Neurospora crassa OR74A: one gene and its partners. The protein of the gene in region 2 interacts with the protein of the main gene of each other region in a pairwise test. Links are inferred from orthologs where the notes say so. Each region holds a gene or a part of one and is shown on either strand. Other genes may lie near its edges.

What was found.
Region 1: the proteins of NCU02406 (region 2) and NCU01367 interact in binary tests that used the Saccharomyces cerevisiae proteins (3 or more experiments, as listed by UniProt). The link is inferred for Neurospora crassa OR74A from reciprocal best matches to the Saccharomyces cerevisiae genes SGD1 and RRP9.
Region 3: the proteins of NCU02406 (region 2) and NCU01266 interact in binary tests that used the Saccharomyces cerevisiae proteins (3 or more experiments, as listed by UniProt). The link is inferred for Neurospora crassa OR74A from reciprocal best matches to the Saccharomyces cerevisiae genes SGD1 and PLC1.

The regions. Positions count from the first base shown.
Region 1 is NC_026505.1:3,789,428-3,796,916, forward strand, and holds NCU01367 (rRNA processing protein RRP9), read right to left. Parts: upstream 4,493-7,489; 5' UTR 4,306-4,492; coding exon 2,416-4,305; 3' UTR 2,100-2,415; downstream 1-2,099. Other genes in the region: NCU01366 (hypothetical protein), read left to right, coding at 1-1,605; pcb-4 (proteasome component C11, variant), read left to right, coding at 5,066-5,067, 5,124-5,281, 5,356-5,605, 5,692-5,893. UniProt on the Saccharomyces cerevisiae protein: Involved in nucleolar processing of pre-18S ribosomal RNA. Required for efficient pre-rRNA cleavage at sites A0, A1 and A2, and biosynthesis of 18S rRNA.
Region 2 is NC_026507.1:2,608,779-2,616,060, forward strand, and holds NCU02406 (nuclear protein), read right to left. Parts: upstream 4,779-7,282; 5' UTR 4,706-4,778; coding exon 4,636-4,705; intron 4,547-4,635; coding exon 1,857-4,546; 3' UTR 1,589-1,856; downstream 1-1,588. Other genes in the region: NCU02407 (dihydrolipoyl dehydrogenase), read right to left, coding at 1-96, 184-263, 336-388, 476-534; NCU02405 (hypothetical protein), read left to right, coding at 5,131-5,154, 5,237-5,315, 5,488-5,819. UniProt on the Saccharomyces cerevisiae protein: Involved in osmoregulatory glycerol response, probably through its interaction with PLC1 which regulates the expression of GDP1.
Region 3 is NC_026505.1:3,446,962-3,454,326, forward strand, and holds the start of NCU01266 (phosphoinositide-specific phospholipase C), read left to right. Parts: upstream 1-2,873; 5' UTR 2,874-3,806; coding exon 3,807-7,262; 3' UTR 7,263-7,365. UniProt on the Saccharomyces cerevisiae protein: The production of the second messenger molecules diacylglycerol (DAG) and inositol 1,4,5-trisphosphate (IP3) is mediated by activated phosphatidylinositol-specific phospholipase C enzymes. Required for cell growth, osmoresistance and expression of GPD1.

The sequences.
Region 1 (7,489 bases), on a different chromosome or scaffold from region 2:
AAGCTCCCGAAAAAGGACCCTTCGGAAGAAACGAAGATCCTTACCCTGGACTCCATGGGGAACAGCCATTATCCAGCGGTGCAAGCGCTCAAGAAGTATCTTATGGCAGAATTCGAGGATAAAAAGCAAACGAAGATTAAGGATCTTCCAAAACAAATTGGAATCAAGGCGACCAACATCCCGGAGCAAAACAACTTCTCGGATTGTGGTGTTTATCTGCTTGGGTACATTCAAGAGTTCGTCAAAGACCCAGACCGGTTCGCTCACTGCCTGATGCAGAGAGAAAAACCTGGATGGGAGTTTAACCCTTCCGAACTTCGGGAGTATTGGCGGAACACCATTTTCGAAAAGCAAAAGGAACATCAGGCGAAGCATGATGAGGAGAAGAAGAGAAAGAAGGAGGAAGCTGCTAGACGCAAGGCTGCTAGCTCAACTCCGTCCGACGCAGTGATGAGTGCTACAGAGAGCCAGACTTCGGGACGCACTGGTTTGTCCCATGATCCGGCAACCGACAACGTTTCTTCCGCGCCCCAATTTGTTAGACCGCCAGTTGTTTCCCGGAACACCAACCCGAACATACCAGCTCCTGCTCCAAAGCCGACAACTGCTCTCAGGTCACCGTTATCGTACGGGGCCTCTTCAGCGACCGGAACAGTGACTAACACTGCTGCTGTGGCTGCCGAGAGAGGTGGTGGCTCAAAGAGGAATATGCCAGATCCGCTCGAACCTATCCCACGGCCGCCTACTCGGCCCCAGCAAGCCGCCGACAACGTTGTTGTTGATCTGGAACGGGACGAATCCGAACCAAAGGACAAGGTCTCTCACCTTTCGCCAGACAGTCCTTTGCCTGGCGAGATCCGTCGGTCTAAAAACAAAGACTACGAGCACTCTCCCAAACAGCATGCCTCTTCGCGGACTCCTAGGCAGAGCCCCGAGGTCAAATTCATACCAAAGCTGCCCGACTCTTCTCCGGCCTCTGACAGGCGGACTTCGGGTATTGCTCAGGAGATAAGCCCGCAGACGTTCTACTCCAACGCCCCGCAGAGACCAGAGTCGCCAAAGCTACTGTCGCTAAAATCACAGTCGCCAAGGCCGCAATCACCTTTGGTCGAACGGAAGCGAAGATCGTCACCAGCACGCAAGGCAAAGGCATCACCACCCGCACGTAAGACGGCGCCTTCACCTGAGCTTGTAGCGCAACCCCTCGAATCGATCGAGATCTTCGATCCCCCGACTCCTGAAGCTCAAAGACCGTCGACGACTAGCAGCAAAGTCAAAGCCGAGCAGAAGGACAACAATCACGTCAACCACGGAAACAAAACTACCTACAAAAAAAGCGATAAACATACCCGCCAGAAGTCCAGAATACCTAGGAGAGTTGTGGACGATACTGATAGAAGCGGAATTGGTAGCGGGAAGAGTCGCCGTGTAGAACAACAACAGCAACATCATCAGCGACAGCCACGTCCCAGCAAGCCCAAGGAAACGGCCGAGACCAAGTCCGAGGAGATCCCCGATTCACCCCCTCCGGCGATGGTCGTGTCTGACATCCCTGCGGTGCAAAGCGCGGAGATGACGCCTATTGACTTGACTGATGAGAACTGAGTGAAGACCAGGAGTATGTGGATTGGTTAGAGCGTTGAATTGGTTCATTGTTGTATGTTTATTGTTGGTGTAAGCATATTCATTCATGCATCTGCCCATTTGCATTGCATGGTCTTGAGGCCTCGATGGCTGGTATAGCATGGCTGCGTTGTCTTTTTTGAAGCTCGTTGCTTGATTGTTTTGGAGTTGAAACTCTCGAACTCCCCAAGTCTTGTACATCTTATCATGCAGGCGGAATATTTGGCGGTATTGACGTCCAGCTAGGCCTCGAGGAGTACCTTTGAGTCGGGTGGCCATCTCAGTCTCGAGCTAGATGATGGAGCCTCAACCTTGTGCTGGAGGAAGAAGTAGCGCAGCGTGATCTAACAAACTACCAATCCTCTGTTGATATTTTTTTCCACGGAGAGCACATTACAAGAAGTTTACCATCCCTTTGATGATATATTGGTGAGAGATTCCATAGTATTTTAATGGCTCTGTGTGGCACAACTTAATCGGAAATCTAGTGGAATGGATTCATGACCAGAAACTTTTCAACTCCCTTCAAATGCAGTGAGGCTACCTAAAAGATATAGTGTGGTATGTACAATACTTGCTCTTTCTACTTTCTCCTTCTCCTTTGTCTATGAACAGCTTGGCTGTCGCGAATGCGATATAACGTCCAGAGCACTTTGTAACAAATTTCAACAGGCGATGATTATTTGGCTCTCTTCTTCCTCATTCTCCGCGTTTCTCCCATGTCCCGCTCCGTCAAACGAGGTAGACAAAACAAGACAGAACAAACGTACGTATGGTTCCCATCTTCTTCCTCTATTCCTCCTCTTCTTCCTCCTCATCGCTCTCCTCCCCCTTAGCCCCCGCTCGCCTAGCAACCTTGGGCACCTCGAAGATAGTAGCGCCGTTTCTTCCTTCCTTCATGTACTTCCACCTTCCCAGCCTCATCTCCTTGCCTGTGGCGACCACGATGCAGATGCCGTCGCGACCGCGGTTGCCGCGCTCGAAGATGGCAATGTCATTGATGATACCCCTAATCAGCCCGCTCTCTTGCTTCTTCTTCTTGTCTTGCGACCCATCCACCGAGGCCTCGTCGTCCGCTTGCTCCTCCCCACTGCTTGCGGTTGCAGGTTCCTTCTCCGCCTTTGCCTTCTGCTTTGCTTCCTCCTTCTGCTTCTGGGCCTCGGCCTGGTCAAGCTGCTGCAGCGCCGTGCTGGAACCGAGCACGCCAACAGGCAAAATCTTCTTCTTGTCCTCGCTCAGGCGCCACACGCGCACGAAGCCGTCCCAGGAGCCCGAGAGAATGACGTCCGAGTACGGGATGGTGCGGAGGGCGGTGATGGCGCGGGGCTGCGGGGTGGGCACCACGCTCTCGTCCGGATTCGCGTCGGCAGACACCTCGGTCGGCTTGAGCGGCGGGTCGATGCCGTGCGCACACGGCTGCGTGAACAGCGCCTTCTTGCGGTTGATGCCCCACAGCGAGAGCGTGCCGGCCGAGTCGCCAGTCACAAAGAGCTCGTCGTCGATCATGGCCACCTGGTCCATGGTGCCATCGTGGTTCACCGCCTGGTCCCGGTTCTTATGGGATTTCTTCTCCGACACGCCGCCGCGGAACACGAGCTGCGACTCCTCGGGAACCTTCCAGTAGCGGGCGGTCCGGTCGCGCGCGCCAACGGACACGCAGCGCTCGCCGGCCAGAGCGTCGATGTCGGGGATCTCATCCTGGTGGCCGAAGAGTGTTTCAACGTAGGCGAGCTCGTCGAGCGACCAGACTTTTACTGTCCGGTCCTTGGAGGCAGAAAATATTTGGTTAGTGCCGCGGCGGAAGGCGAGCGAGGTAACGGCGTCGCGGTGCTGGGTGAAGGCCCGGAGGGGCTTGAGGGTCTCGGCGTCATGGACGACCATTCGCTTGTCGGCGCCGCCGGTGACAACAAACTTGCCGTCGGCAGAGGCCCTGACCGTCAGGATGGCCGCGTTGGTGTGTCCCTGGTATGTCTTGTCCTTTGCCTTGATCGGGTTCGCCCTGTTGAAGCACACTCTCTCGGGTTTCTTCTTGGGCGGCGCAGGCGGCTTCTTTGGCTTCTTCTTGGTCGTCTGTGGCCACTGGTTCTTGGGTAGGTCTTGTAGCTTCCACTTGGTAAGGTAGCCGTCTTTCGTGGTGGTGTAAGCGTACGGCGCGCAAACCGAGACTGATGTTACCGTTCCTGAATTCCATCGAAACTGTGTGTGTGCGGCCTTGTCAAAGTCGAGCTTGGAAGCCAACTGGCGGTAAACCTTGCCCTTGGCCTCGGCCACATCCTCCTGAAGACGCTCGGCCAGCAAATCACGGTCAATCTGCTCGGCGTCAAAGGCATACTCGTCCTCCAGTTCCACCTCTTGTCGTGCCTTGTCCAGATATCGCTGTGCCAATCTTAACCGCTTCTCAGCCGCCGTCTCTCCTTCGTGGTCCGACTCCTCTTCTCCTTCCGACCCGTCCTCTCTCTCAATGTGGTCGCCATCGTCACTGTCAATGTCGCTGCCGGATATCGACTCGTCGCGCTCAACGGCTTTCTTGGGGGCTGCGGGACGTGATTTGGCGGCAGGGCCTCTGACCGACGATGACTTGGCAGTCGATTTGCCAGTCGCAACTCGCTTCTGGGGGGCTTCGTTGGCAGAGGCACGCTTCCTCTTCTTTTCCCCAGCGGGTGCTGTGAAAAAGGACGACATGGTGTTGGCAATTGCGGCCCGGGGCGGTCGGTGCAAATGCACTGGAGTCGTCTGGTGGTAGAGAATGACACTGGAATGTGAATTGGGGTCGCGTTCGGCTTCACTTCAACGCTGCTGCATGGCTATCAAAGTTGAAATTTTTGGGATGGCCGTTCGCGCCTAGACACACCCGACCCGATGGACTTCGAAGAAAAAAAAAAGTTGCCCACCCTGCAGGCTTTCTATCGGTGGAGTAGCACGCCGATTCGTCAAGATCTCCTCCACTGGCTTGGCACAATTGAACGAGTCGGAGAAGGGAATCCCCGTGCCGTGCACTCTACCTTATTGCGTCACTAACAGATATAGGGGCTCTGTCACGCGGAACCGAGCTAGCGAGCTGTTAGTAGTCGGCTGGTGGGGAGGCTCTTGCTGTCTCCAAAAGACGTCCCCGGGCCATCCTGGCAGGTTTCATGACGGAGTGGGGCTGTCTCTCTCGCTGTCTGCTTGCCTGCCCAGTGGTTGCAGCTTTCAGCCCTTCTGGGGACTGGAATGGAAAGATGGAAGACGATAGCGGGCACCTGAACAGCCTGGCCCGTGCTTGTCTTGTCAGCTTGCAGGCTGAAGCTCCAGTGCGCGTTCCCCGTCGCCGTCAGTTCAAGCTCCAACTGCCCTGTCCCGCCATAGGTAGGTAACGACGAGAACCGTGCAAGCCAACGCAACTTGCCAAAGCTTACCAAAACAACAGCATATCATCCATTCACTCACATAACAATCAGCCAAAATGTACGTCGCATCGGTCATGTCTTGGAGAGGTGATATCAGAGCTGATCAGCATGTAGGGAGGTTTTACTAGGCATCACGGGCAAGGACTTTACCATCATTGCGGCGTCCAAGGCCGCTATGCGGGGAGCGACCATCCTGAAGGCATCCGACGACAAGACAAGGTCGCTGAACAAGCACACACTGATGGCATTCTCCGGTGAAGCTGGCGACACAGGTACGGCAGCGATATCGTGATGATGGCGCTTTTGAACCAAACCAAGTTAACCAACTGTTTGTTCCCATCGACAGTGCAGTTCGCCGAGTACACCCAAGCCAACGCCCAGCTCTACTCCATGCGCAACGGGACCGACCTTTCCCCTTCTGCCCTTGCCAACTTTGTCCGCGGCGAGCTTGCGACGAGCTTGCGCTCCCGCAAACCCTACAACGTAAACCTCCTTCTCGGAGGTGTCGACCCTATCACCCACAAGCCCAGCCTCTACTGGCTCGACTACCTTGCGTCGTTGGCGAAGGTCCCCTATGCCGCCCACGGCTACGCACAGTATGTGATCTCGACCGATATCTCTGTACCGTCTTTGATGCGTAGGAGTCATGTACAGAATCACTGACCGGTTCTTTCCTCATCAGATACTACTGCCTCTCGATTCTCGACAAGCACCACCACCCAGACATCACCCTCCACCAGGGTATCAAGCTTCTCAACCTGTGCACCGACGAGCTCAAGAGGAGGTTACCCATAGACTTCAAGGGCATGACGGTCAAGGCGGTAACGAAGGACGGCATCATCGATATCGAGTTCGACGACGACAAGGTGGTTAAGATGGCTTGATTTGTGGGGATGCTTGCTTACTTGCCTGCTTGCGGCTTGGGAAGCCTTGCGGGGGAAGGACAACTCTGTATAATAATACCCATACGACGGAAATGCATGAGTCCAGGTGGCCTCCACCAACGGGAGACCCCTGGCGAATTTGATGATCATAAAGAAAGAGAGAGGAAGAAACAAGGCTATCATGTTAGAGGTGTGAAGTCCGAGAGTCCGTCTCTGCGGCTCCCGGTTTCAGTGTGGCGTGTGGAGCGCGTCTGGGCCGATCATACACCCTGCCACCGACACCATCGCGATACGATACGTCAGGGTTGCTTCTTTTTGATCCTTTCTTCGAAACACTCCTCCAACCGGTCAGATATCGTTACGGCAGTTGAGGTTAAGGAACCTGTTTAACGTCCTCTGGCAATCATGGGCGAAAGTATTATAACATTGAAGCGCACACCGCACTCGGTTTCAATCGAGACAGAGGCTCGACGAGCACTTGAAGTCCGTAGAGGTATTGTGTACCTACCTGAAACCGACAAGCTGTAACATGAATCATGACTACTGGTAAACGTTGAAACAACTAGAAAGTATTTCACATTGTCAGGGAATTGTTGTACAGCCAAATGAGAAGAGCTCGAGCCAGTGAATGGTCAATTCCAATTTCATATGTTCAGTCGGCATCATTAAAAGCACACGCAGAGAAGACGCAGCAAAGGGACTTGAAGGAATGTGCTGAAGTGCATGTGTGTAGTACGAGCCATGTAGTGTATGATCGCTGGCTGACATGACGAGGCCCATTAACACTGAAAGCGGTGAGCGCTACAAGCGTGATGGTTGGTGACTGGTGATACCTTGGGACGACGTGGGGGAATTCAGGACGGAGCCTTTCTGCAAAACCTTCCAAGATAGTACACAACTGTCTCTCTGCAGCTGATACCTACCAACGTACATGTCACCAAAGCGGAGGGCATCAGCGGCCCGATTATGTATGTCGCTGTTGCAACTGTCATCCGAGTGTCTGCTGTCAACATCTGCAAAGGTTAGATAAAAGGTGCGGAGATCGGTGCAGAAAGAGATAGATGGATGTTTATGAGACCGGCAACACCGCCGGCTGAACGCGGGATAGAAGAAAACGACAAGAGGCAAGAGGACAAACCGCCCCTTATCACCTAGACGAAGGAAGTGCCATTTGCCTTTTGCCTGCCAAAGGGGTCAAAGCCAATGGCTTGTTTCCATGTTGTTCCTGGTCTGCCCTTCTGTGTCCACTCAGCATATTGAGGTTTGTGGGCTTGCATGGTCAATCACAGTTGGTCCAGCCAGATCAATAAAGAAAAAAAAAAACCGGTGTGTTTGTGCGTAGCAAAAATTGAAGGCTGAGCAAAGACCTTTCCAAAAGGTTCGAGATCTATAACAGAGGATGGGAAAGATAGCAATGATGCTAATTTATTGCCACCCGAAATGCCTAGCAAGGCCTAGCAAGGGCAAGGCGTGGACGTTCCGCTTGCTGCCCTGCCTGCCCTGCACTGCTGCTTCCTTACAATCGCCAATCGCATGACCAACATTGGCCCCCTAAGACGGTAGAGGTACCGGTACAAAGACCCTTTTTTGCCATCA
Region 2 (7,282 bases):
GTAGAGATGGGAGTTGTTGAGGAGCGACTTGGAGGGAATGCAGCCGACGTTCAGGCAGGTACCGCCGAGGGTGCCGCGCTTCTCGATACAGGCGACCTATTTCCAGGCAACATGGGAGATAGCAGTCAGATATTGTCGTCATTCGTCGGTGTTGCGGTGTAGTTGATTCGCGATGCGACGCACCTTGAGACCCTCCTGGCCGGCCTTGATGGCAGCAACATAGCCAGCGACGCCACCTCCAATGATGACGAGATCCTTCTCCTCTACGGGCACATCAACAGTCAGCCGACCAGAATCCTTTGACGAGAACCAGCTCTTGATGTTGGCAAACAGACCAGACTCGGTCGCATAGGTCCTCCTCAACCTGGGAGAAACGACGACAGGGAGCCTGTATGTGGTCGTCAGGTCAGCCTCAGTACGCGCATGAGAAAACAGTGTGTCGGGCATCCGCCGGCAACCGGGACAGTGAGCTTACCCCGAGGGCTTGAAGGCGGACCGGACGGCAGCACGGCCTATTAATCTTTGGGACAGCATGGTGAAAGTATGTGCTGAATGGAAAAACCAGAAATGGAAACAGGGAAAATTCGAAGGAACGAGCGCACTGCAGAGAGATGCCCGGGGAAGCAGGGAATGCGATTCGATGGTGAGACGTCGAAAGTGTGTACTGAACTGCAAAACGCCGCGGGAGAGACAATTGTTGGGATTCGAGGCGGAAGCTATTCACGGCAAGCGAAAAATGTCCAGTCCCACTTGTTCGGGTTGCCAGCCCGTCAGAGGCTCACATCGCTCAAAGGGCACCCGCTTTCCACCGTGCCCGTCCCCAAGCTGGCCCGCTCGAGACAGCGCAGAGCGGAGTAGGTAGAGGTAGGTACGAACGGAGCGGAGTAGGAACACCACTACCTAGGTAGGTAGTAGGTACCTCTAATCTCGCGTACGCTACACTAAATAGGTAGGTAGGTACTGCCTGATCGTGTTAGTAGTGTAGAGGTAGTGTGCTACAGGAAGTAAAAGTACTATGATGCCAGTGTTAGGCGGGACGGGCAGCGCGCTCTTCGCCGTCTTACTTTACTGTCGCTGCTGCCCTGACTGCTTCGTCGAAGAAACCCGTCCCCAAATACGTACGGTACTAGGTACGCTCCATTGCGTCCTGTGATTGGTCAAGACGAACTTGGCGTGCAGCAGCTGACTCCAAAATTTTGACATCTCTGCACTCCCGCTATGTATTGTAGCCATTTTTCTGACAGCTTAGGTTGTGTTTGACATTCATCTTGCTCCTTGGCGCGATCCCCTCTTTGCTCCCCTCTTTACTCCGCCCGTCAACGCCAAATAACCCCAGCTTGCCCAGCTGCCGAATTGGAGAAGCATAACCTGTCCCTAACCCGTCTTAGAGGTTAGTTGTTTGTCGAACGACATGACACATGGCAGGCAATTCATCTCAAACCATCTGCCTCCTCTTCATGTCCACAATCAAGAGTCCCGCCCGACCCTCATGAAACCCTGTCCCTTCGTTGCAAGACGAAATGACATCATTGAGTGCTATTCACAGACCACTATATTTCCGGGCTCCCGCACACTCGAGTCGGTTGCTCCCTGGATCCCTAGTAGCAAATCGCCCTTCCTGACAACAAGTTCCCCAACTTAAAGCTACCCCCAACTTTTCCAGTCCCGCCGTCAACGCTAATATCTACAAAGTAGGTAACTACATTCGAGCGAGAATGCTTGGGTTAGTTCCATGAACTTGTCATGATATTGGTCAATGGCCTTTTGTATAGACCCCGGCACACTTGTATCCCTGATCATTATGTTGCTATTCCCGAAGATATCCGATCCATATACAGGTATCCAACAAAGCAAAATTATTCCACCAAGCCTTCGGCGGCGAGCAGCGCATGCTCCAAGGCCGCCATGGCCGTCTTGCAACCCTCCTTGACGAGCTTGGTGTTGGCCGCCCCTCCCGCGAGATCCGACTTCCGGACCACCTTCTTGATGAACCATTGCAGGCCTCTGGCAAGCTCGGGGACCCCTTCCACAGCCACAAACACCGAAGTAATCGTCTCATCCCGATCCTTGTCGCCGCCTTTTCCGGCTTCAAGAAGCACAGTAATCAGCAGGATCTCCACTAGCGCCCGCGTCTTGGTTTGTAGATAAGGCAAATTGAGGCATTTCAGAATTGCCAATCCTAGCGATCCACCTGCCACCATGGCCCCAAACAGTTTTGCAATGTTGACAAGCCGCCGCATGTCCATCGCATCTACATCCTCCTCATCCTCCGCGTCATCGCCAAAAACTGACTCTCCGAGACGCCTGAATAGCTTCCAGAGCGCGTCTTGGAACGACCACCGGATTTTGCGATCCCCGCAAAGCTTCTTGGCCACCAAGGTGTAGTATGGGTTGTAGACCTGCTCTGCGCCGGCACACTGGATGACCACGTATGGAATCTCTCTCTGTCGCTCCTTGTTCAGGCGCAACTTGAGGATGCGGTAGTAGGCATCTTCGTAGTCCGTGGCGGACATTATCGACACAAAGATGGACCGGCGCACGTCCGTGTTCATCTGGTTTTCTCTGGCAAGTTCTCCGAGGTCAGGCATGTCCTCGACATCCTCCAAGACAAAGCTTTCGTCGTCCGAGTCAACGCTATCCTGTATGACACCGTCCTGGGTCAATGGCTTCTTGTCACTGTCCTTATCTCTGCCTGCCCAGCTAGCGCCTACAAGCCACCATTTGCCCTTCTTGTCGGCATCGCGTATATCGGCAAGGGTCATTCGCAAGGGCTCGGCCGTCTTGATGGTTTTCAAGGTGCCCAAAAGCTTCTTCATCTTGGTTGTGTGCTCCGTGAGAACGGCGGAAGCGCCTAAACCCGTCTTCATCTTGTTGTTTTTCAGGTCGTTGATGGTCTCAATCATGAATTTAGTTCTGACGCTGAGGTTCTTCTCTCCGATCTTGGCAACAGCCGGGCGGATAAGGGTAACAATGTCCTTGACAGACATGGGGTCATCTTGTCGGAGGGCTGGGCCAGCAATGCGCACAATTCTGAGCAAAAGTTCCGCGTTCAGCTCCGAAAGATCACCCAAAAGGATTCGAATGAAGTCGAAGAGCAAGTTAGGGCCCACGAGTTGAAAGTTATAGAGTTCGGATAGGAAAGTGATGAGGTTGGATGTCTGTTTCGGCACGTCTGGCCGCTCCTTTGCAGCCTCTTTGGCCTCTTCATAATGCCTATCAAATCGCTCGATCACTTCTTGAATTAACTGTGCGCCAAAGTCCATGCCAATCACCTTGAAGATACCCGTAGCGAAACCCGCGGTAAGCACGAGCAACGTATCAGGCAGCGTCGTTGGCTCGCACACCTGAATGAGTAGGAGATCGACAATGTTCGACGTAAGATGTTGTCGCGGGTTGTCGCGGTAAAGCTTTTCAAAGTCCATAATGATGGATAAAAGATTAGACTCTGTCATCCTGTTGATGAGACCTTGTGTTTGACGGCGAATGTGGGCCACCAACTCCGCTTCTGAGCCCGCCTCCTGTCGCTTCGATGGTGGCACGTATTTCACTACAGTCCGCCCAGTTGTAGGCGCAACATATGGGTTTTCGCGGACCCGTTCTGGCGGCTTTTGTAGCGTTTCTTCGTCGTTGTCGGATTCGTCGTCGTCGCCGTCGTCCTCGTCGTCGTCCTCGTCGTCGTCCTCGTCAAATCCTCCAAAATCCCCCTCATCCTCGCCCAAGATGCTGTCTTCTTCTCCATCTTCATCAGAATCGCCTTCGACCATGTCTTCGTCTTGGTCAACGTCGTTGTCTTCGTCCGAGTTCAATCCCTCTAAGAGATCGTCCAAGCCATCGTCCTCTTCGTCCAGTTCGGAGACTTCATTTTCTTCCTCGTCTAGTTCGAATTCCTTCGTCTTCTTGGCCTCTTCCGCTTTCCTCCTTTTCGCCGCAAGCCACTCATCCGCTTCGGACTTCCGCTTCCTTTTCTCGGCTGTTTCGTCGTCTACGCCAGGAAGGCCTTCTAGTAGATCAAGAAGACCATCCTCCTGGAAGGACTTGGGAAGCGATTTGCGTCCCTTGATGCCGAGCTTCTTTTCGAGGTCTGCGATCTCCTTGTCGTCTTGCGCCAATCGTTCCATGACAGTTTTTGAGATTTTGGGCTGCGACTTCGATATGGTTTGTGTTGGGACATCACTTTCCTCTTCATCGTCCACGTCTTCGCCGTCTTTGTCGTCTTCTTCGTCGAGGTCTAGCTCATCGTCCTCGTCCTCGTCAAGATCGATATCGCCCTCGTCATCGAAATCCTCATCATCGTCCTCTTCGAGGGCAACATCTTCATCCTCATCCTCCAATGATCGTTTCTTCCCGTTCTTCAAGATGGGCTTGGGTTCCTTTGCTTCCTTTGACGATGCGGCATCGACCTTCTTCTGTGGTTTTGGGGCTGTAGCGCGCTCGGTATGGTAACTTCTTGTGGACGAGGTGCGGTGAATCCTTTTCTGTGTTCTCTCTGCTTTACGGCGATCCTTTCTAGACTGAAATTGATTCTTGCGACCTCCGTGAGATTGTCCTGCAAGAGTTAGGATTTCGTCGGAGAACCCTGATTGCCAGGCAGGAATGACAATGGCTGTATGGGCGCATGAACGGAGGCACGCTCACCTTCTACGCCGAGCTCCTTCAGGAGGTTGTCAGGCAATTTTGGAGCCTTTATCCTCATGGAGGGTGCCATGTTGTAATATGCGCGTGCGGAGGTGTAGATGTGATTGATTGGCACGACCTCCAAACTTTGCAAGGCTCTCTCGTCCGTCGCTGCATGGAAGAGCGCGGGATCGGGACCTTGCTATCGTTATCAGATAGTTTTTTTGGTTATCGGTCGGTGCAGGGTTCCAGGCATGTCGACTGCGGGGCCAAGAGCGCCAAGAGATGAAGCGGGTCCTCCGCTGCTTGGGACCCCACCCGGCTGGTTTTACGCTGGGGAAGCTCACTCCTACCAGACAGACGGGAGCTGCCCGGCCAACAGCAGTGGGGAAAGCTGCCACTCTCGTTGACTTTCATCAATCATTCTAGGTTGCCTTCACATTCACTCCTCAGCCGAATTGTTGTCTTGCCTTTTGCAAACGAGCATAAGAAGAAGACGAAAAACAACTGGATATCATGGGTCATTTAACTCACGATGAGGTAATGTTATATGTGACTGGCTGCTGTGATCCCGTCCTGAGGAGACCATGCTAATCTGACTTCAACCGACTATGGTATATAGTTCTTCTCCAAGCTCACCAATCTGTTCGAGTATAGGAAGAACCAAGATCACGGAACCATCAACCTAGTACAAAAGAGGCGTACGTGTACCTACACCAACCCAGCGCAGACAGGAAACTTCACACTCGGCTTTGCTATCGTCACGACAATCCTCCCAATTTCCGCTGTTTTCCAAGCTTAAACTCCATCTCCATCCACCCACGATGAGCTAAGTAGAGTGAAGCTCCGTCACCAAAGCTAACCCTCCCACAGTATCCTACAGCACCCCTTCCCAATCCACGGATACCGACCCTCTCACTGACCTCAACCCTGCCACCCCGCTCCCGGTTCTCATCCGCGCCACCAACGCCAAGGGCAAGGACAAGAGGACAGAAAAGGTCAAGCTGTCCACCATTGTCGAGCCAGCCGACCTGGAAACCTTCTACGGGAGGTACGCCGATGTTTGCAAGAAGGGCATGGGGGCATTGAAGCCGAGAGACAGGACCAAGAGGAAAAAGCAGTCGAGGAAGAAGAAGACAGGTCCTGCAGCCGCTGGAGGTCCTGGTGTTGGTGCTGGTGGGACTTCTATGATGGCTATTCCCTGATTGGACTCGAAACAAGCGTTGCAAATTACACCATTGCTGTTTCTGTCTTCTTGTGTGTACATGACCTAACGGAAGGAGGGATCTGTATGAGGGTACCGTATTAAATTTTGTAATATTCCCAAGCTTTGGTGGAATACCCTGGTTCAAGTCAGTGGGTACGCATGGTAAGGAAAGCGTTGGTGAGTAGTACCGCATCATAGCCTTCAATCTGCCACTCTCGGTTACCCTACCTCTCGACTCACCTGCTCGTAGTTGGTATTACCCTTCAAGACGACTAGCGAGAAAGGAAGGGAAGAAAAAAAAGGTGTTGGGAGAGGGGGGGAAGGGGGAATATGAAAAGCTCAGCTGCCTATCTAGCGTGCAGCGCACATCTACTATCTACGTGAGCTACTGGAGTTAATGAAAGGTGCGAACTAAAGGGATCATATGCCCGTTCTGGAGAATGTTCAGTCCTGCCGCAGGAAGTATGCGGCCCTTCGTGGAAATGGAGATGGAAGGGAAAGAGAGGAACATGAAATGAATGAGTGACGGAAGAAGCGTGAGAGAACGACTGCTGTGCCTCAACAGAGAAGCTGTTGAACGAAGGGGAGAGTAAGAGCGAGCCGAATTGATAACGTTCATATGCTTGTTCCAAATCTGCTGGCTGGCCTTCACGATCCTGTCTTGGGTGTGAACTTGATCACCGGGAGAGCGTGTATCTCCAGGTGACTCGATCTAAACGGTCCTATTAGCAAAGTTAACATTTCTCATTTGGTAAAATAACAAGACTGCCCGGGTGGAGCAGCAGCTACCGTACCCTGACGTCAAGCGTAGATATATTTGAGCCGCACTTATGAGCATCAGCTGAAGGGCAACCGGCTCACCCGTTCTCCACTCGATTCACCATTATGAAACACCACGAACACGTCACATCACGTTGGCTTCACCTTGATTGGCTTTGATTCAGGTTACCAAGAGTCGCAGTTCCAATGTTCGACCTTAATCCTAAGGTCAACCGAGATAATTGCATGTTCTCTTCAAGAGTACAGTCTAAAGGTGGGGGGATGTAGGTGAAACAAGATCAACTGTCCATTTTGAGGGTCCGAACCGTAAACAACTTGCTGAAAGAAAGGCCGAAGAGCCAAATGTCAGCCGCAAAAAGAGCAACAAGTTTCAGTGGGATTTACTTGTCCCATGTGCTAGAACTGGGCAAGGTAAAGCATGTCGCAAATTCAACTTCCTCAATCTCCTTCCTCCGACACCATCCTTCACATGCTTGTCATGCGGCCATTCAGACTACTGCCCCATCCCAGGCCAATGCTCATGGCCACCAAATCCCTGACCATAGCCACCTGTCCGTAGACAAGTAGTGCAATTGGAAAGATTGAACCGAGCGCCACATCGAAGACAGGCTTAATCCAGTCATATAATACAACCTCCAAATGGAAAATCCCAAACTATCATAGGAAATCTGTTGCTTCAAC
Region 3 (7,365 bases), on a different chromosome or scaffold from region 2:
GAAGTTTTTAGGGATTAAAAGGCCGGTTGCCTTTTTTTTATAAATGTATTAGAGTAAATCGAAACCCTTTAATAGTATTAGGAATATTTTATATAAGTTAATTTGACTTTGCTAAGATTATTATTAATTACTAAAATTAAATATTTTATTATAATTCTAACTAATAATAATAAATTAGGGGATTATTGCGATGATTGTATTTGCGATGCCATTCATAGTACTTAATTGAAATTCTCGCTTCGTATCGACTATTATTAAATACGTTTTAATTAATTACTTTCGACCGTACTAGTCGGCTAAATGTAATTTCGCGAAGACTAAATAACTACAATAGTCTCTTACTATTCTTAGTCTTTCCAAAATTACTTATTATGCATTAATACGATGGTTAGGTATAATAAAGTATTATAGGGCGCGAGTAAGTACTAAGCTAAGATTTTGATTGTTGTGCGAGGAACAGGAAGAGAATCCTGTGCGCGTACGAGAACTATGTAAGGCACGCTTGTGCGTGGGTCTAGTATACGGACTACAGCACGTGTGCACGTGACTGCTGTACTGCACTCAGACAGCTGCAGGCTGGCTACACCACTGCAGTGCAGCACCCATCTATATACAGGAACATGGCAGCAATGCCTGTGACACTTCCCCACGAGTCCCTGATGAACCTAAACCAATGTAGTGTAGATCATCCGCGACGGCCCTGTCGTCCAGTGAGGGGGTGCCATGGAAGGTAATGAGGCTACTGTTGTAGCCCAATTCACCCCCATACGCTCAGGTATGAGATATCTTCCCAGCCCAACTCTCGGCCACACGACGTGGACATCCACTGCGGTCAGACAGACATTGGGGAGTACCTAGGAAGGCGGGAGGGGCCAAGTACCTAGGTAGGTATGTAGTGAATATGAAAGAAAGGGGAAGGAATGATGGAAAGGAGAAGGCAGGTAGAAGCTCGACGCTACACTATTTCGGATATACGGATGCGCTAGGTAGGCTCAAGGAGCCTGGCACGCCTGGGCATTCGTCGCAATTGGAAGAGGGAGCTCTGGGCGTGCTTTCAGAATTTTCTTTGTTGCAAAGATTGCTGCCCACAGCTGCCGTATTCCGTCCAAACTCATGCGAGTTTTGGCATGGCGCTCGCGTGCAATAGGTTCGTGGGAATCCCTTGCTCCGTCATTTGCCTCCGCTGCCAAGGTCCGCGGAACCTCCACGCTTGGACATGCAACCACTGGACTGGTACGCACCACTGTACGCAGTAGGTACCTAGGTTACCGCATCTTCTCACTTGTAACGGAACTCCTCAATCGGGGAAGAAGGCCACCACACCTTGTGCGGGCGTTTTGAGCTTGCTCTTAGCTGCATATGCAGCAATATGCCAACCGGATTGGCTAGTAAGCCTTGAGTTGTATTATGTATAAAGCATTTTCGTTACAAGTGAGAAGATGCGGTGGGTGGTAGGATGGAACATACAGCTTACGCTAAGACAGAGCGCCATTTCCCTGTAATATTTTCTGTATGGTGTCCTGGTAAGTATTTCTCCGTTATGCTCCTGCATTTCTGTAATTTTCACTGTCCACTCTGCGGTGGCACTGTGCACCGCAGTCTCACACTTGTAATCTGGGGCGCACCTTCCTAGAGGTAGGTAGGTATGTACTACCCACCCTCATTAGTTCCGAGTCTCCACCGATGTGGATGTCCAGTATGGATAGTAGTCGGCGGCCCCCTTCTGCCCCAAGCTCCCAGGATTAGGACCACCGCGGCGGACAGAAGCAACACAAAGCAAGCATTCAGAACAAAAGAAGCACCGATCGTATTTCGGCCACCCTCGCTCCCGTCTGCACCGCAACCACTACGACGCCAATAAGGTTTGCTCGACGAAACCTCACCTTTACGACATCACCTCGACTCGGGCCACTTACCTTCGAATTCGATACACGGCGGGCACAGTACGTGAAAATTTCAGCTGCTCAATGCCGCCGCTTAGTACTGCACCGACACTGAACCCACCTGCGACTCCAACTTTGAAATTCTGCTTCCATCGGGTTTTCCACTTTTTGATCTCTTCAGTTGCATTTCAGACCATACCTAACGGAACCCCCAGGGTAGGGGCAGGGCAAGGGCAGTTACACCCGACCACTACCGACTCGCAATACTACTCTACTGTACCTCGACACACTACATTGCGCCCCAAGCAATACATGCACCTTTTTTGATACCGTCGCTTCCTGTTATCCCGAACCATACGCAATACGTCCATATTCACATATCTATCCATACGCTACGTGGTACTTTACGACGCCCGGCCATCCACCTCTTTCTCATCCTAACCATCTGTACCGGCGGCCACACACCGTACAATCCTGGCTGACTCTTGCGCGGCTCTCGACACCTCTCCCAGCTCTAGCTCTCCGTCCAGCATCCAGTTCAGTCATCTCCAAGGTCCACTGCAACAGAACCCGCCTCATCAGTGTCAGTCATCAATGGGTTTATCCACTTTCTGTTCCTCTCTCTGAAAACGAGAAACTCGACGCTGCTCCACCATCACCTGGCTACACTATCATTGCCGCCGTTAACGGCCCCGTCACCGCCGACCTGTAACTCTACTATCTCCCGCCGGCTTCCTCGAGGCTCTCACCAGTCTTCCAGCTTGATTCTGCCTCTTCCTCCTGCTACTAACTACGTGGTGTATACCGCTGCTAGTGGGCGCATCCCTGGCCCTTCAAGCTGCTTGCCCATTCTCCAAGCTCACCACTACCCAAAGAAGGAAGACGACATCAGGGTCTGGGCGGCTCAACCACGAAGCGCAGCGCGGATACCTGCTACGTACCCAGAAGCGCAAACGCCGGTTCGCGTAAATTAGGCTCTGGGCAAGCCATCAAGCAAGGAAGGTCCGAGGTCGAGGTAGCAAAACGGGAGCCCGCCTCGACAGGAAACCAAGGGATCATACGGCAGCGCTTCATACCACACAACGCCGTTATTAGCTACAGCATCCGACGGGCCAATTCGAACCCAGCAGTCCAAGTACCCGTACTCACTGGACCGAGCGGCTTCCACCCAACGTATCCAACGTATCCAACGTCTCTTGGCCGTCAGGGTGGATCACCGAGCTGCCCCCTCCCCTTACTCTCCAATCCTGGACGGTTCCCAAATAGGAGCAGCTTGCATACGGCTGCCACCTCATCATTCTGCCGTGGGTTCACAGACCGTCACAAAACGGCGGCGGCGGCCCATACCTTACCCGCCCCTTCCTCGCAAAATCCTACACCTGCCACTGCATGCTTCGAGGTCTCCCGTGTACAATACCTGGGTCCAACCCCGTACCAGTACAACCGCCATACTTGCAGCCTCCCTGGTACCTAGCTACGGACTTACCTGCCTTACAGGCTACTTAGCTCGACCTGCTGCTCAACCCCCGTACGCCTCATTACCTTTGCTTCCTCACTTGCTGACTTGTGCGTGAGAGCAAGAGAGAAAACGCCAGAGTGGACTCGGTCATTGTCCACAACCATTCGCTATACCTGCTACAAGACGTCCCCTCCTGGAATCCACGCCTTGCCAGACCTTTCGACATCTATATATCTTTCCCCGCACTCTTCTTTTACCACCATAGGGGACCCAGCCTATTCTGACAACGCCTGGAAGATGCGACGAAAGACTTCTCATCACACATAATCCCGGTTTTTTTTTTTTTTTTCTCCTTGGTCGTGGCACAACCCATCAGAAAAAGACTTGGTCCATCACTTTGTTCGTCCAAGTTTGTTTGCAACGGCTTTGCCCCTAGGGGACCTCTCTCCCTTTTACCCAACATCATGTCTTCAACTACAGAGGCTCTCTTGGTTTCCCAAAACTCCCCTTCGACTTTGCCCGAGGCCATATCCCGTACCATGGCCCCAAATACCTCACCATCGCGGCGGGCACGTCCTGCTCATGTTCAGACAGCTCTCACGCTACAGCCCCAGGCTTTCACCAATGTATCTCCGCTGTCCGCCATAAGCACGTCGTCTGCGTCGCCCACGTCACAACAACCCTCTCCGGCCTTGACACCAGACACGGCCGGCGCCATATTCACAGAAAGCAGCTCCCTTCAGGGTTCCCCTGCGACTTTCGTATCTTCCACGACAAAGGGGATGGACTCTTACGCTTCTACGATTAAGGGAATGGAGGAACCAGTTACGCCTCTTAACCTCCCCGAGCCACTAGCCCCAGCCCCTTTGTCATCGAAGAAAAGCAGTAACTCGCTAAAAAGGAATGGAGAGAAAAGCGGCGAGAAGATCCCCAGGCAACAGAATGCTATGGGCGAGGCTCTGTCCAAAAGTAGCTTTGCGGGTAGTCTGGTCCGTCGCGCTTCAAACACAGTGAACAAAGCGCGCGACATACTTACACGAAGAGCATCAATGAACATTGTCAATCGGGATGCTGACCCGATGGTGGCGTCTTTGCGCCGTGGGAGCAACACCTTCCCACTCGGGGAACACAACTACAGAGGTCACTTGCTGGAATCAGATGATGAGTGTGCCATAGATGACGCCGGTCCGTTGGACGGGTTGCGAGACGCTCAAATTCCCCTGAGCATTGGACCCGAGATTCCGGTTGCTTTACGCCAAGGTGTCATGTTGAAAAAAATCAGCAAGAAGAAAAAGGAAAAGAGAATCACCCTCACCCTTGATCCAGACACTTCCAAGATATGGTGGGACAAGAGTCGAACAGGGAGAAAGTCTGTGTTCATCGATGACATCAAGGAAGTAAGGACAGCCGAGGACATTCGACAGTACCGTCTTGACGCCGGGGTTGAAGAATCTGAAGAGCCCAGGTTTTTCTCGATCCTGTATACAGTCCCAGAAAAGTCAGGAACCAAGGTGTTGCATCTCATTGCCCTGAATTCCACCGACTTTCGCAATTGGACCACGACACTCGATGCTATACTTCAATATCGCCAGGATTTTACGACAAACCTGATGGCCTTCAACGAAAAGGCCGTCCACGAGTTCTGGCAACGACAAATGAGAAAGAAGTACGCAGATAGGGTCATTCCGGCTGAAGGCGAAACCATTGAACTTCCCGACATTGAGAGAATCTGTCGCTCTCTTCACATGCACCTATCGCCGACAGAAATTCGCGACAACTTTAACGCTGCTAAAGCTGCCAAGGCTACCTCCAACGGGGTCTGTGATCCCACTTCCCCTTCCAGTTTGAACTTCAACGAGTTTAAAGAGTTCGTGCGGCTATTGAAGGCGAGGTCTGAGATCAGCCATGTCTTCAAGAATCATACGACCAACCCTAAAGCAGGGATGACGAGGCAAGAATTCATACAATTCTTGAAGGAGATTCAATGCGAAGACGTGGAGGAAGATTCTACGCATTGGAACAATATCTTCTCTCAGTTCGCGCGTAGACGCAGGTCCAAAGATGCCGAGCAGACCATCAGCGGGGATGAGTCATTGACCATATCTGAGGCTGGCTTCACTGGATTTCTCAATTCACATTTCAACAGTTTGCTCATCCAGGAGCCATCCGAATATGTTCTCGACCGACCAATGAATGAGTATTATATCTCAAGCTCACATAATACATATCTTCTTGGTCGCCAAGTCCGTGGAATCTCCAGTGTCGAAGGCTATATTTCGGCACTTGAGCGTGGTTGCAGATGCGTTGAAGTCGACTGCTGGGACGGCCCGAATGACGAGCCTTATGTGTCACACGGCCATACCTGGACCACAAGGATCAAGTTTGAAGAGGTGATCAAAACCATCAACAAGTATGCCTTTGTCAAGTCTCGCTTTCCTCTCTGGATATCGCTGGAGGTCCGCTGTAACGCTGCGACTCAAGCCAACATGGCAAAGATTATGATTGACATATTCGGCGACAAGCTTGTCCGGGCACCCCTCGATCCATCCTCGGATCGACTTCCCTCACCGTCTGACTTGATTGAGCGCATCCTCATCAAGGTCAAAAAGTCTCAGCCAGTACCTAACACACCATCTGAGGAGTCGCTGAAGACTGAGCGACCTGGTCGGCGGCGCGGCAACAGCCTACCCTCACCTTATCAGAGGCCGTCACCTTTACCATCTCCCATGGATAACACATCCGTCGCTGTTCCTGGAAGTCCCTCGTTGAGTCCAAGTCCGATGTTGCGAGCGACACGGCAAATTAACACCATCACGGAAGGCGAGGTTCATTCCCACGGGGGGCCTAGCAACAGCCCCAGCGAATACGAGAGTGATGCTGAAAAGGATTCGGGGAAGAAGGTGGTGAGCAAAATCAACCCTATCCTCGGTGAACTGGGCGTTTATTGCATGGGCGTTCACTTTGATGGGTTCGACAGCCCCGACGCTAAAAAGTTCAACCATATCTTTTCCTTCAAAGAAAAGACCTTTGCTGAGAGAAGCCAGCCGGGTGAAGCAAAGCGTGCTTTGTACCGTCATAACATGCGCTATCTCATGCGTGTGTATCCGAACGGAGGTCGGATATCTTCTAGCAACTTTGACCCGCTCCTCTATTGGAAGCGCGGGGTTCAAATGGCAGCACTGAACTGGCAAACATTCGATCTGGGGATGCAGCTGAATCAGGCTATGTTTGATAGTGGCACCGACCTGTCCGGTTATGTTCTTAAACCCCTCGAGGGACGTCAGATTCAAGTCGTCCCGACGGATGCTGCCGGGCAGCTATCGGGTAAAAGACCACGGAAGAGGATCTCGTTCAAGATTGAGGTCATCTCTGCGCAGCAGCTGATGAGGCCATTGAATCTTCCCAAGGGGCGGACGCTTGATCCCTACGTCGAAGTCGAGATTTTCCTGGCCGATGACAAGAGGAATAAGCAAGATGGTGCCACAAATGCACCAGCTCAGGAGACGCAGCTGAAATATCGCACCGACATCGTCAAAGACAATGGCTTCAACCCCGTTTTCAAAGGCAATAACTCTTATGAGTTCATTGTTACCACCAAGTACCCTGATCTCATCTTTGTGCGCTGGAGCGTGAAGCTTGGCGACAACAAAGGATACAACGACCGCAGCCCCCCCTTGGCGACTTTCACAGCTAAGCTTGGCGGCCTCAAGCAAGGCTACCGCACGATACCGCTGCTTGATCACAACGGGTATAACTACCTATTCTCGACCCTCTTCTGCAAAATCACCAAGAGCCAGCCTACCGATATCATGGTTACCTACTCCAGTGAAGTTCCAAGGAACAGTGTTAGCAGGATCAAGAACATTTTTAATCAGTCCGGCATCAGCCCCAAATCCAGCATGGATAGTGGCCGGGCCTGAGTTGTTTCATGCGGTTCGTTTCGGTACTGTATCAATATCACCATTTTTTTCTTCCATTGTCTATTGCGGATGTATTCAATCATCTCGAGCGACCATGTATCAT